Lepisosteus oculatus: one gene and its partner. The protein of the gene in region 2 binds, or shares a complex with, the protein of the main gene of each other region. Links are inferred from orthologs where the notes say so. Each region holds a gene or a part of one and is shown on either strand. Other genes may lie near its edges.

Evidence for each region.
Region 1: the proteins of orc4 (region 2) and orc5 are in contact, whole or in part, in a cryo-EM structure (PDB 7JPO), measured with the Homo sapiens proteins. The link is inferred for Lepisosteus oculatus from reciprocal best matches to the Homo sapiens genes ORC4 and ORC5. Residues at the interface, in NP_001177808.1 of Homo sapiens: Ser18, Gln21, Arg22, Arg25, Glu26, Cys29, Arg30, Gln31, Arg69, Thr74, Asn100, Leu102, Leu103, Gln104, Ile105, Ile109, Glu113, Arg116, Asp162, Arg277, Met281, Met284, Leu285, Asn288, Met311, Asp312, Ser313, Lys314, Asn316, Ile317; in NP_002544.1 of Homo sapiens: Ile17, Ser20, Leu21, Phe22, Gly23, Glu24, His26, His27, Phe28, Ser29, Phe30, Pro31, Tyr36, Gly37, His38, Thr39, Thr98, Phe99, Asn100, Val103, Arg104, Arg131, Glu134, Asn136, Pro139, Gly140, Arg143, Gln145, Glu146, Leu147.

The regions. Positions count from the first base shown.
Region 1 is NC_090702.1:48,312,336-48,319,860, reverse strand, and holds the start of orc5 (origin recognition complex subunit 5), read right to left. Parts: upstream 3,023-7,525; 5' UTR 2,956-3,022; exon of another isoform or gene 2,951-2,955; intron 1,320-2,950; 5' UTR 1,319-1,319; coding exon 1,205-1,318; intron 1,021-1,204; coding exon 928-1,020; intron 1-927. UniProt on the Homo sapiens protein: Component of the origin recognition complex (ORC) that binds origins of replication. DNA-binding is ATP-dependent. The specific DNA sequences that define origins of replication have not been identified yet.
Region 2 is NC_090707.1:2,792,059-2,799,136, reverse strand, and holds the start of orc4 (origin recognition complex subunit 4), read left to right. Parts: upstream 1-3,972; 5' UTR 3,973-4,088; intron 4,089-4,949; 5' UTR 4,950-4,968; coding exon 4,969-5,025; intron 5,026-6,428; coding exon 6,429-6,505; intron 6,506-7,078. UniProt on the Homo sapiens protein: Component of the origin recognition complex (ORC) that binds origins of replication. DNA-binding is ATP-dependent. The specific DNA sequences that define origins of replication have not been identified yet.

The DNA of each region.
Region 1 (7,525 bases), on a different chromosome or scaffold from region 2:
TTGCACTTATTCATTTCCATCTTGAGATCACAAATAGAAATGGCCCGACCGTAAGCAACAATACCAGACACCTTGCTGTCCCAGTACTTCTGGAGGGCACTGCACATGTTCACACGTATGGCGACCCACAATTAGGTGCACACAGCGGATATGTGGACGTGCACTTGTTTCAGGACAAATGAGAAGATCAGAAGTATATTCATTGTATTGTTCATGCAAACTCCAGTTTAATTGCATACGCTGTCCTGTGATGACACTGTGCCTGGCCAGTCCTGCCGATGACCTTTCCTGGACTTTAAACGTTGATTTGTAGGAGAGAGACAGTGAGCTGGGCACAGACTGGCCCTGCCCCTGTCTCTGCCCCAGACCCAGGCCACCCACCCCTGACCCTGCCCCCGCCCCAGACTCAGGCCAGCTGCCCCTACCCCACCCCAGCCACCCACCCCTGCCCCCGCCCCAGACTCAGGCCAGCTGCCCCTACCCCACCCCAGCCACCCACCCCTGCCCCCGCCCCAGACTCAGGCCAGCTGCCCCTACCCCACCCTGGCCACCCCAGCCCCTGTCTCTGCCCCAGGCCCAGGCCAGCTGCCCCTACCCCATCCTGGCCACCCCAGGCCCTGTCTCTGCCCCAGGCCCAGGCCAGCTGCCCCTACCCCATCCTGGCCACCCCAGGCCCTGTCTCTGCCCCAGGCCCAGGCCAGCTGCCCCTACCCCACCCTGGCCACCCCTACCCCTGCCCCTGACTCTGCCCCAGGCCCAGGCCAGCTGCCCCTACCCCACCCTGGCCACCCCAGCCCCTGTCTCTGCCCCAGGCCCTGGCTAGCTGCCCCTACCCCACCCTGGCCACCCCTGCCCCTGCCCAAGCCCCATCCCAGTGCAGGCCTTCCCCGCCCAAACCCAGCCGCCCCGGCGGCGCCCCGGGCCTACCTGCAGCTCTCGGAGCAGGGTGAGCGTGACGTGGCTCTTCCCAGTCGCCCGGTGTCCGTAGAGGAAGAGGGAGGGGTAGCTGTAGTGCTCGGGCTGCAGGGACAGGACAGGGAGGAAGAGGGGCTGAGGGCCGGCGCTGATCGACACCTGCCCCGCCCTGCCCAGACCCCGGCACGCAGGCCACGCGCCAGTCGCACACGCACACGCACACGCACACGCACACGCACACGCACACGCACACGCACACGCACACGCACACGCCACCCAATCCTCTCACCTCCCCGAACAGCGCCAGCAGCGCGGCCGCCTGCGCCTCTCGGCAGGGCACGGCCTCCTCCGCCACCTGCAGGCGCGCCGCCGGGTAGCCAGGGTGCTGCAGCTGGGCCTGCATCCTGCAGGGACAGACAGGGGGCAGAGGGGCCCGCGGCGGTGAGGACACACTGGACACGGGAGGCGGCCACACGGGGGGGAGACTACAAACCCCAGCTCCCCCGCCTCCACCCTTTATTCCCACGGCCCTTACTGCTCTCCAGTGTGGAGACTGCGCCCCCTACTGGACCCCACCAGAACTGCGGTCCACTCACGGTGAAGCCCAGGTGACTCCTTGATCATCCACAGCATAATCCGTACACTTCTAAAACACTCTTCCAGACACTCCGCCGAAAGAGCTATACCGCCATATGTACAGCCCTGGAAGATGTGACGGCACCCATAGTGCACCAGTACACTCCCCACACACCAGCTCTCAGTGGGGAGAAGAGCAGAGTGATGAGCCCGTTCACAGATGGGGATTATTAGGAGGCCACGACTGGTAAAGGCCAGGGGGGAATTTGGCCAGGACTCCAGAATTAACACCCCTACCCTTTTTCAGCAAAGCCCCGAGATTTTTCGTGACCTATGGAGAGTCACGACCTGTGTTATGTCTCATCCCAAGGATGAAGCCTTTTTTTTTACAGTATAGTGTTCCCATCACTATACTGGGGCATTAGGACCCACGCAGACTGCAGAGTGAGCTCCCCCTACTGGCCCACTAGCACCACTTCCAGTATCAACCTCAGCTTTCCCAGGAGTCCCCCATCCAGGTACTGACCAGGCTCACACCTGCGGAGCTTCAAGGGGCTTCCAGGTGTGAGGTACAGGGTGATATACAGTAGCTGTTGTCTTTATACATTTCTGCTCCTTTTAGAAGCTGTATAGAACAAGCGTAAAAAAGACCAGCTGGAGAGCTGAAGGTTTTTGAGTGAGCATCACAGACACGTTGACTCAGAGAGTCTCAGCGTACTGGATGTGGAAAACAGCAGGCGTCCTTTATATACGATTACGTCTAAGATAATATACTAGCATATTAATACTCATTACTGACCGCTCAAACAAGTGAGTTTACATCAGGCTGCTTACTGAAAGGGAGACGCACTGTACTGACGCACTGCTGTCGATGGAGCTCTGATCAGTAACGCCGAAACGCCGGTGCACAGACTGGTGGAAATGAACTCAGCTCCGTTTTACTGTATCGGAAAGGCAGGAGTGCTACAGTGCAGCCGAAACATTTAGATCACACCAGCGGAGACCTCTGCGGTTCCAGCGCACACACAGACACCCGTCACAGAAACCCTGTTTGTCTGCTAGACCGCCATATCATAGCGCTAACGGTGAGCTCAGTTGCACCACTGGTTCTGTCCCTGCCTCTCCGGTTTTTGACTCGGACCCGACAGTAAACTCCTGCGCCGACTCGGCTGTCACGGCTCTCACACAGGGAACCACTGTCCCAGGAGCGAGTGCGGTACCGCCAGCATACAAGCTGAGCTCTTTACGGTCTCGCTTCCCGTTGTAGCTATTCTGCAGAGCCGAAGTCTCTGCTCACCGAATCTAACGGTGTTTCTTTAAATTATACTAACAAATTCTTAAATAGCAAAGGGCTTTGCTGAATTATTAAGTGATAACATAATGTGGCAGTATCGAAGCTTTTATGCACCACGTTTGGACGAGCTAATATTGCTCAGTCAAACAAAACAACGTCACATACTGCACCTGATCTCTCAGCAATTCCCCCAGTGTCTCCCTGCTGCTACATGCTTTCGCGCCACGCCGAGGTTAGAGCTCAAATTCCTTCCTGTCACATGACAACAGAAAAGTGGCCAATCAGAGCTCGTCTGGAGGCCACGGGCTGCTTGGCCTTCTGGGATTTGTAGTCTTTCCTTAGGATATGCTTGGAACGACCCAAAGACAGCTGACAAATTCCCAGAGAACGCATGCTTGTAGAGATGACTTCATACTGCACTGTATTAATATAAAATAATGAACTGTAGGACATATATCCTTGTTTATGTAATAGATATTATATATACAGAAAACCAAATTGAAAGGTACACTGTTTCATCAAGTAGATTTGGATAAAAATAAAAGGATATAGTATTTGGAAAATCTTGGTTGATACTAAAAAACAGACAACAGTTTGCAGGGATTGACTTATTATAGTGATACAACATCAAAGGGAATCGTGTCACGGATCTATGCTGATTTTTTAAGTACTTTAAAGTCCAATATTGTTCAGAGCATTTTACTCCTTGGACCTCAGCGATTTGAGAGTTAACTCCATGAGAGACAAAGGGCTGAGAAAACACCGGCGCTTTGAGATTATGCACCATGAAAGTGTAGCGGAGCTAGTTCGGACACGGTGACGTCATCGCCCTCCCTGCGCGTAGCAGGGACCTCAGCAGCCTGGGCTGAGGGAGGTCCCCTTTAGCTCATGCGGCTGGTTCCCTGTGGCGTTACGCCGGAGACCCAGGTTCGCGCCCCAGGTGTTGCAGGCCGAAACGGGTGGCGGAGGGCATCAAGCATTCCTGTGCAGGAACTGTGACGGTCACAAAAGGCACTATATGAAATAAAGGCAACAATTTCCCCTGCTCCAGGGGTTCAAAGTTCAAAGTGGAGGAAACTGGCCAGAAGAAAGCTGCCATGAACCGCACATGAGCACTTCGACGTCACCGCATACCCACGAGCGCCTCTCTCCTTGCACTAATTAATCAATTATCATTCCACACACACTCCTCCCTACTTACACCCTCTCACTCCGCTCACTGCTGAGCTTCCCGCTTTTCCCTTTGGATGAATACTCTAAACCTTATCGTCTTTCTCGGCTCTTGAAGTTCTTGCTCTATCCCTGGATCTACGGCATCGCTTGACGTTTCTTGGATTTGGTAACTAATTTGGAACTTTTCCCAGGATTACTCTGCTGCGGTCTTGCATGGGGTCCAAACCAGCTGCCCCCACGGTTGCCTAGACAGAATGATAATAATGAATAATTCCTCACACTTACGCAGCGCTCTTCTGGACACTCCACTCAAAGCTCTTTACAGGTAATGGGGGCTCCCCTCCACCAGTGTGCAGCCCCACCTTGATTATGACTGCAGCCATAGTGCTCCAGTACACTCCCCACACACCAGCTCTCAGTAGGGAAGAGAGCAGAGTGATGAGCCAATTCATAGATGGGGATTATTAGGATGCCATGATTGGTAAGGGCCAATGGGAAATTTGGCCAGGACGCCAGGGTTACACCCCTACTCTTGGGATTTTTACTGACCACAGAGAGTCAGGACCTTGGTTTTACATCTCATCCAAAGGACAGAGCCTTTTTTACAGTATAGTGCCTCCATCACTATACTGGGGCATTAGGACCCACACAGACCGCAGGGTGAGCGCCCCCCACTGGTCTCACTAACACCTCTTCCAACAGCAACCTTAGTTTTTCTCAGGAGGTCTCCCATCCAGGTACTGTCAGGCTCATACGTACTGAGCTTTAGTGCACTGCCAGTTGTGAGTTGCAGGATGATATAGCTGCTGACTTGAACCTGTGAGAGCTGAGAAGAGTCTCAGATGGAGACTTTGTTGTGGAGCCAGCAAGCTGCTCATGTGCTGTGAGAGAGAGGCTGTAGACGTCTAGCGACAAGCTTTGGCCTAATTGTACAATGCACTAATTAGGCCCCATTTAGAATACTGTGTACAATTTTGGCTGCCCCCTTACAAATTAGATATGGCTGCTCTGAATCAGTCCAGAGAAGATCCGCCTAATACATTTCTGGAATTAAAGTTATGTCCTTCTGCGCCAGGCTGAAAAAACTGAACACGCGGAACAGGTCCCCTTGTAGTCTTCTCCATTCAGGAGTAAAAAGACTCATTTCTTTCAGAACTCCCACACTCCTTTGGGAATTTCGAAGAGACCTGCTGGGTTGACTTGATTTTGTCAGAGCCTTTCAGGATCCAGAGACTTAGAGCAGCTGGAGGGGGCGTCTATTGCTTTTCAGCCCAGAGCACAATGTGCTCAACTGTTGCCCGTCATTAAATGATGTTCCTCTGCAGTGCAAGTGCTGGATTAAAAAAATGTAATTTCTCTTGCGGACTGTACCACCCCTTGCTCTTGCGAAAGACGTGCCTTCGAAATTCCACGGCTTCTTTCAGCACATGGGAGGAAAAAGGTTCCACTGAGGAAAAAAAAAAACTTAGAAACCCCATGAGTATCCGAGGAGCTCCACTGTGAACCAGAGCCACCGAACAGAGCTTGTCAGAGCAACTGGTTGCAAGAAGATGAGTTGCCCTCTGACTCAGAGGATGTGAATCAAGGAACAGCCTAGCAGGGGGCGATGCAGGGTAGGGGAGCCCTTTGTACTGCCTCCTTCTCCCCCTGTGGGCGCAGGGGACACCTCTGGGATCCAGATGGCAAAGATCCAGCGGGTGATTTTCCACATTGGTAGGATGGATAGGATAATAAATGACGACTCTGGATTTGTATACATCATACTGCCGCACCATTGAGGACTGGGAAACGAGAGCGATCCGGAGCCCAGTAAACGCACCCTGCAGCTGAGGGGTACAGCCTTGCTGTCCCTTGCAAGTTCCAGACGGCTGCCGCTTCACTGGCGTTTATGCTGCTTCAGCCTCTCTCCTCTGCGCCGGGGGGTTTTCTCAGTAAAGGCGTAGCTGTGCAATAGACAATAGAGATTGAATCTCTGAATCTCACCGTGTGAAAGTCAGGAGCTGTCAAGCTGCGTGCACAGAAGGGTGGGATGTTCCCTAAAAAACAAATATTAGGGTTGAGATGCGTTTTATTCTTTAACGCCCCAACATTCAGTTCCATCCCATTGTCCTCTACTCCAGTCCATTCTCCAGATCCTCAACGTCTTTTCCCTGCTGTCCTTCTCCAGTTACTTCCGGATCATACCGTCTGCATAGGGTCCTGAACTATGCTTCACGGGAGCCTGGACCAGCTCCCCTTACAGGAATGGTGTGCAGGAATCCAGGTTGAACCTACGCCAGCTGGCCTCTCTCTTCCTCACACCCAAACAGAGGTGAATTTCCACTGACTCATCCGGGAAACCCGCTGAGGGGGCCTCCTCAAAAAGACTTTTCAAAACCATAAAAAGGCTACCCTGTGTGAAAATCCTGTTGGTCATTGACTAAGTCTTTCATCCATGGCTGTGTGGGCATATTCTGACACAAATGAGAAAATGACATGAGTGTGAGTTATGTTGATTTAAAGATAATGAGAGGTAGCTGGGCTTTCGATGCAGTGCTGGGAAAAAGATTGTGAATCCCAGTCAGTGGGCCTATACACAGACACGCATTCCCATGTATGATTGCTACGACCCCAAGTGTCTAGGGGTAAAGGGGTGTAACATTTAGGATAATTCTTTTGGAAGCAGGTGGGTTTTGGTGAGGGATTAGGAAGCGTGATAACAAGGGTAAGCAACTAAAGTGGTGCCAAAGGAAAGAAAATAATAAACAAAATGGAGCTGGCTAGGACAGTGAGGGAAAGCTAATCGGACTACAAAAGAAAACCCAAAACACGGTCTTCGGCGTCTTCAACACCCTAGCTAACTGACTACCCAAAACCATACAAGACAAATGGCACTCACCCGTACGAAACTAGTGTACTAATACAAAATCAACCGAGTGTGTAAAGTGTACCCAACAACCTAAACTAACCTTATATACAAAAGTTCACACAAAAACACAAGTGAACCAGGAATAGAAATAAGGGAAAACAAGAGTAATCAACAGGAGCAGGGTACAAAAGAACACAAAAGTTGAACATGTAACAGTGGGGCAAGGTAATGGCAAAACAAGGATGAACACACACAAACAAAAGCACAAAGAAACTAACAAAAAACCAACAAAACAACAAAGCCGAAGCTAATACGAAAATACACACACAAAGCAAAACAAACCAACAAACAAACAAAGCCGAAGCAATAACCAGAAGCAAACGGGACCAAAGTCAAACAAAAGGCCTCTCCTTGCTGAAAACCTCCATGTTATAGGCTGAATAAGATGTGTTCTGATTGGCTGAGAGCTAATTGATGATGACATCATACTGAAAGTGTGGTGTAATGGTGGGCCAATGGGGAAGGGAGAATAATCAAGGGTCAGCAGTGTGGACATAACAGAAAAAAACACACACAGAACACACACTGGGACGTTACAATGATATAGACCTAAAACATAATTAGATCTTCATGAAAGTCTTAATAAAGGATCAAGATAACCTGATTAAATGTATAACACAAGGACAAAATATACACAGTATTTGGAGATAATAAATGAT
Region 2 (7,078 bases):
TCACTGTCGTCCACTCAGCTCATTGACTTCAAACCTACTGGCCTCCCCTGCAGAACCCGAGCCACAAGTTCTGGTCACAGTCGGCTAATAGATTCACACCTGCAGGACCTGGGCTCCGAGAAGCTTTTATCAGCCGTGCAGCTCAAAAAGCTCTTTCCAAGGACTTCAAACAGTGGGACGCCGATCTTCTCTTCCCAATTCTTCACATTAGGAATGAATGGTAGATGTACATAAAGATCCATACTTGTCCTTCCCCAGGAATTTAACTTTGAAAGTATTTGAAACACACAATTTAATTACTGTAATTTAAAAAAAAGGAAGGAATATACCTTGACAATAAGCACATCAAACAAAAGCTACCATACAGAAACGGATGCTGGATCAAAATCTGTTTAGGTCTGCTGAATATTTTGAAACCAGTGTTTTTATTTTTTACCGCTGTGAACCATCTTAAAATAAGCTAAAATTGTCACAATATCACAACAACATGTGAATACAATTCTGAGTGAATTTTGCCATGATACACAGATAAATACACAGATTACCCTGTAGGTTTTCTGACAAATCTGGCTACTTCCAATTTCTTAAAACAGTCTTGCTTTCTATTACATAGAATTATAATCAGACATATCATACAAAATCATTAATTTCAAATTCCACAAAAGGATGAAATTAAAGTCAGCTTCCCATAGTACCAAGAGAACTCAATGGCAACCACCACTGCCAATGGGTTCAGTCAGAGAAAAAACGGAATGCGCTGAGCTGTCGTAAAGCGCCCCAATATGAAATCTAAGTGGAACACTGTGTATGACTGTGACAGAGGGCTGTAAATGACACCCCAATAAATGTTGCTGATCTACCAGCAGCAGTACATGGCGCTACAAGCCAGCAAGGACGGCATCTGCCTTAACAGCTGCACTGGGAGTGTGGAAATTTTACAGTCCAGGCTAAAAGAAAAGAAGAAAAATAGCCCTTTGAATATAAACCTAACGCAGACTCTAATCCCCGCTCTCAATAAAGGTTGATCAAAATGTGAAATATGTGGGTGCAGAGGATCTTAAATCTGGAAGATGAATCACAGGAGGAAACCTGAGCAGCTGATTCTATGCCACACAGACAGTAGTGTATCTCGGCTGCTCTTCATCACACAAGGCACAGCCCACAGTCACTGCAAAAATACACAAAAACAGCTGGGAGACACCCAGCTCCTCGCACCTCTGCGGGAAGATGTTAAAGAAAATAATTACTGGGTGCGGCCTTGACCTTCTACAGCGATAAAGCAGAAGAGGCACAAAATGCCTTTCATTGTGGAAACCGATTCTGGGGACAAGCGCCGCTTCCTTACAAAGATGACGAACCCCCTGTCCAACATGCAGGACTCATCCTGTCCTCGGACAGAGGCATCCTCATCGCCGCACCTAGCCCTCGCGTTTCTTCAGCATCAGGGTGCACTAGCTGTACACAGCATCATACGTATGGCGAGACAGTACGGTGATCCAAGTTATGAACACACTGACTGCAGCCTATGGCTTGGCTCACATGTACAGATGCACTTCAGTGTTTCCCTGTCTATTAACTGACAAGGCCAGGTGAGGCTAAGCCAAGAATCACACTGATTGCAAGGCAGTCCCTTGCTTTCAGATGCTTTCCATATGACTGGCACGAAATATATGAAAAAAATACAGAAAGGGAAAAAACTGAGGTTTTTGTCAACTATAGCTCGACAGGCGCCCAGAGGACCAAAATCTATGGATACAGTTTAAACCCACCTACCTAAGAGATTCCAGAAAAACAGATGTCAAAAATAAAAGTCGAGTACATATTTAGTATTCATTATTTATCTCCAGGATTAGGAAAATGGCCATCTAAACTGAACAACCTACTAATATAAGAAAAAGCAGGCAGTAATGAATACAAAACACTTACAAACATGCGAACGTCCTGTACAGCTGTTTACCACTTTCCTGAGGGAAATTCCACAGAAGTACATTTCACGTGTGCCCAAGCATTGATGCTGTAACTTAACCTCCATGATTGTACCCAGCTGCTCTGCCGTAATAGGTCATGTTTTATGTTTTTAATAGTTCTGCTGTCGAAGCAAGTGAATATCATTAATAACAATAACATAAATGGTGAACAATGTTTGATTATGTTAAAGGACATGGCGTCTATGGGAATGGTCTTATATAGGTCTACCCCCAGAGAGCACACACCTGTAAAACAATTGCTCTCTCACACACATTTTCATTATAGTCAATGATCCTTCGCTGTTCAGTATTCGGTACAGCATTAGCTGAATTTCAGACGGTAGGTGTGAGATCACCCAACTTTCTCTTCTTATAGGAAAAGCCAACACTATATCAATAAGTTCTGAAGAGAAATATCTAGGCTATTGATTGGGTTGTTGGTACACCTCTTCATTTTCTGAATGAGACAGCTTCTTGTAGTACGATTTGCATTCACATTTAAACCACTTGCTTCGATTTTTCCTTTGGAATTCTTTTTCACCAACCCGGGCATAAGAAACCATACAGGAGCCATGCCTAACTCACAAATCACACAATTTAACATGGCTTATCCATCACATGCACCTTGCATGAAGGGATTATAAAAAAAAAACAGTCTGCCAAGAATAACTCTAGAAAAGTCATGTCATAGAAAAAACAGCAACATCTTGATCCACATCATGGAACTCGCCTTCACTGTGAAGTCCTGCTGGAGCGGCGGCAGAGGACAGCCGTTTACAACATCAATATTTGCATTTGGAAACTATGAAAAGGAGAAACAACGCCGTGGACAGCTAATGAGAGGTTTTAATGAGCAGCAGCTGAAAAATACCTGAGATACAGGCAGCCGAGGTGTCGGTCAGGAGACTAGGGCTCAGGCTGGTTTTAATCCAGAATTAGCTGTGCCCGTTTACAACCGGTGGTATGGCATCCAATGACTCAGAAGTAGACAACCTAACTGCGAAACAGTGCTGTATGGGGCCACTCGGATGTACACAAACCATTTAACCGGGCTAAATTTCATTATCTTCACAATTAAACTTTTTATATGGCCGATGAAAGCTTCCAGGAGATCTCCCGAAGCCCCGGTCGGCCTGAGCCAGGTTATTTAATCACGCAGGGCTTCGGTACATTGTAACGGGAACACCGATCTACCGCTTTTCGTGATATTTTAATTTGCTTGATAAAATCCAAATCTCAAGGAGGCGTCCACATCCCCTGCCAACTTCAACAAAATGCACCTTGACTGTTCAAAGGAAAAAAAATACCATTTAAGAAAAAAATATTTAAATATAATCTGTGGCTGCGTGTAGTCTTCACAGCAATATTCTGCAGAACAGACAGCCCCAACACCAGAACACATAAATAAAATGCATTTTCAGACACTCAGGGCAAACAGGAGCTGAAATTTAACATTTTTCAAAAAAATATATCCAGGAATTAAAAACGCGCACCTACCTCTGATTATCTTCCATCGCCAGAGAAATTGAAATTACAGGCAGAGTGACCGAGAAATAGCGAAGTTTTTATTCTCTGTGTGAACTGAGAGGTCTCTGCTCAGAAATGTCTCCAGCCAGGGCCAAAGCACAGACACAGGGAGAGGAGAGGGTTGTGTTGCTAAGAAGAAGCAAGAGACAGAGAAAAGGGCTTTCTGGATTGTTCTCCTTAATATAAAGGCCTAAGACCCTTTTCCTCCATTTTTCCTGCCCCCGTTGAGTTCCTGGGAGGCTAAGGGCGGCGAAACGGAAGGTTTGAGCTGGTTAAAATGAGGTTCTGTCCCTTTAAAAATAAAAATAAAAAGCTTCCCCATCAACTGCTGCTGCTGGCTCTCTCTCTGGGCTTGTTGGGATAGAAAGATGGAGCTCTTCAGCGCGCCTGCGCCGCAGCTTGGGGCCCGGAGGAGAGGGGTGTCCCGGCATGCACGGTAAAACCCAGCGGAAGCGACGGGCGAGCCTGCCGGAAGGGCGCCGCTGACGTCACGCGCCGGGTTGAGAGTTCAGAGGTGATCGCAGGTGCTGGTGGTGGGTGACTGCGGGAAGAGCAGGGATGGTCGGGATTTAGGGACTGAGCGAGAAGTCACAGGTAAAAAAATTATATATATCCACGGTTTCTCAGGTTCACCGCCTTTCCTTTCCCTGTGAAATGAGTCCGGGATGCGTTTTAGATGAGGGAGCTATGCAGCATCTATGAAAGCACGCTCAGGCTCCTGCCGTTGAGGTGCTGTAGTGAGGAGACTGTAAGGTAACATTGCGTACAGCACAGTATCCGTGTGGTGGTTGTGTTCTTCCCAATGAATTGTAGCGCATGTGAAATAAACCCTGCATGTATTTTGCAACCCAGACGGGTTTTCCCTGTTTGCCAGGTTTAAAACATTTTCAGCCCGCTTAACAGTTCTGGCAAGAGTGTAACGTCATGCCTAGTTAAGCATAATTGAAGGCGAAGGCAAGTCTGGCGCAGTCAGGTTCGTGCAACTTTTCAACTGGCAGGTCGGAGCACAGCACCGAAGGGCTGGTAATTACAATTCAAGATAAAGACGCGCAGTCACGTTTCAGACATGCCGACGTGTTCGATTAGGCTCTCAAAGATAGCTTCTTCAGCTCATAACTTTTCCATAGAGTCCAGTTCAAGAATCGGGTTAACAATAATGCAGCTCACAAGCAAGCAATAACCGTCTTTTGTTTTGTATCTAAAATCTGAAAAGTCAGTCAATATAGTTTTCGTTCTAGACAAATATTTGTCGTCGACAAGGTGAGAGCCTGGTAATTCATCTGAATGTAATGTACTCATCGTGATGAAATCCTGACTTTCTGGAGGAGGCAGGTTTTACCACTGTGCTCATTTCGCTGACGGAGGTGTCAGTTTGCCTGTATCCATTTGCACTGTTTATCCTGCAGAAGGGAGTTTGCCTGCCTGCTGACCTCTAATGTCTTTTTCCTTCTTTAGGCACCAAGGTTATGACATCATGAGTAAAAGAAAGTCTAAAGAGAGCACTTTAACACTGGGAGAATGTATTTCTCAGGTTTGTATTTTTTATTGATGATAATTACCGTTGGTACCAGTTTCTTCCATTTTAAATAGGTGGACAGGTTTTTGCTGGGACTTCATCTGAATGTATGGTGAGTTCGAGCCAGAGAACAGTTAAGTGAGGAAAATAAAGCAGCCTCTTGAGTAGGCACTACATTATTTAAGGATTAGTCTGACACATCTGGACTCCCGCAAAACATTGGGATTGTGTAGATCAGAAAGATAAGAATGAAGTGAAACCATGTGTTGCATAGATTAGTTCTATCTGCAGGATCGCTTATCTGCGATCAGTATTTAGGTCATGCTAGCTTTGCATCTGAAAGAAGTTCTTGCAAGTAGAATGTTGAAATTTGACTTACATCAGATACACTAACTTCCCTTCATCTATTTTCTTATTCTTAGTTTCTGCTGTGATTATTGCAGATTCACACTGTTCCTCTTTGTTAACAATGATAATTGACTCGAAAAAGCCCATGCGAATCGCAGCACTTTTCAAAGTGTAATCTCCGTTCTAAATCTGTGTTAGTGTGATCCTCTGATGTCTGTGTATTACTTGTGATTGTGCTGTCTGCATCAAAAATTCGCAGAGGATCTTACCAGATAAAATGGGTACATTTAATACTATTTGTATTTCTGAAATTCTGCATAGTTAAAGTATTTTTTTTGCTTCTTAGAAGCTAAATTTGTCTGATCTTGTCAGAGTACATCCTCAAGGATTAGTTGTTAGGCTGTATAATCAGAATGTAAGAACGATGGAGCTCTAGAAGTTACCACCTGCTGCAGCTCAAGATGTTCGGAGTGTTCTGTTCTGAGTTTGGCCTGAGGGGCATCTAGCTCTATTGCCTTATTTTCTGAAGGCTAGTTTCTCAGTACTCATTGTATACTTTGCATTCTGTATTAAATGCGTTTCCCATGACAGTAGATTGTTTTATATACTAGTGGAATTGTTTACTTATTTTCTTAGTGCCTGACAGATGAAAACCTTCTTGCAGAATATGTGAATCTGTTGGATAGGATTAGTTGCTAAACTATAACCTTTATGTTTTTGCTCAGTTGCTGTTACTGTGCCTGCCAGGTATTCCAACATATAAAATATGTTTTGATTTTAATACATACATTTGATTTTTTCTGCTTTATAGAGGCTATTAATAGCCAGATAATGTATCTGTATGCCCGTATATCTGTCTGTCTTTTTTCTGTCGGCTATATTACTGAATTTTTCAGTTTCACCTCACTTTTCTTTCTTATAAATATTTGTACATTGTGAATCGTACAAAAAAGAACAAGTGATTTTTTATACGATATTATTACTATTTCATCTGTTTGAATGGTTTGCCAATCAATAAAGACTCCCTTTGTTGCTGTGAAGTTTAACGCGTGCTTTCTTCTCGTTTTCAGGCTCACAAAATACTGAGGGAAAGGTGCTGTCACCAGAAACTCCCCAGCAAGCCCTTCGGAGTGGAGTCCCAGTATGAGTAAGTGTTTTGATTGCCCTTGGACTGTATTCAAATGCCTTGCTTCCTGAAGAGCTTGAGTGTCTTCAGCTCGCTAAGAGCTTAAACAGCACTTGGGTCACTGAATACGATTCCCCAAGTTTAACCATTGCTGCCAGCCTGTTCTGTAGCATAACACTTAATTTTACCTGCTCTCGTTAATCATAAATAGTGCAGTTATGTCTGTCGGGGTAAGGTTGTCAAGTCTTTAACCTGTGAAGGACAAACAGATGTACAAAATTGTAATTGCTTTATATTAGATGTTTTTGTCTCAGTATTTTTCTTACCTTTTCCTTCTAGAAACAATTTCTCTTTTTATAGCTGATGATTTTGAATTTTCACGGCCCGTGATGTAGTTTGTAGTTATATGCAAGGGAAACAGCAGATCAGAGCCATTGGGTCTATGTCTGAGCTATTTTGAGGAGCACCACTGCAAACTGTGCTGTTGTTGTGTCCTCATTCCCATGGAGAAAATGCCATGATTATTAATGGTAGCAATTGACATTGGTCCTTCAAGTTGTCACTTGCTTAGAAAGTGAGCCAAGGGATTTAATA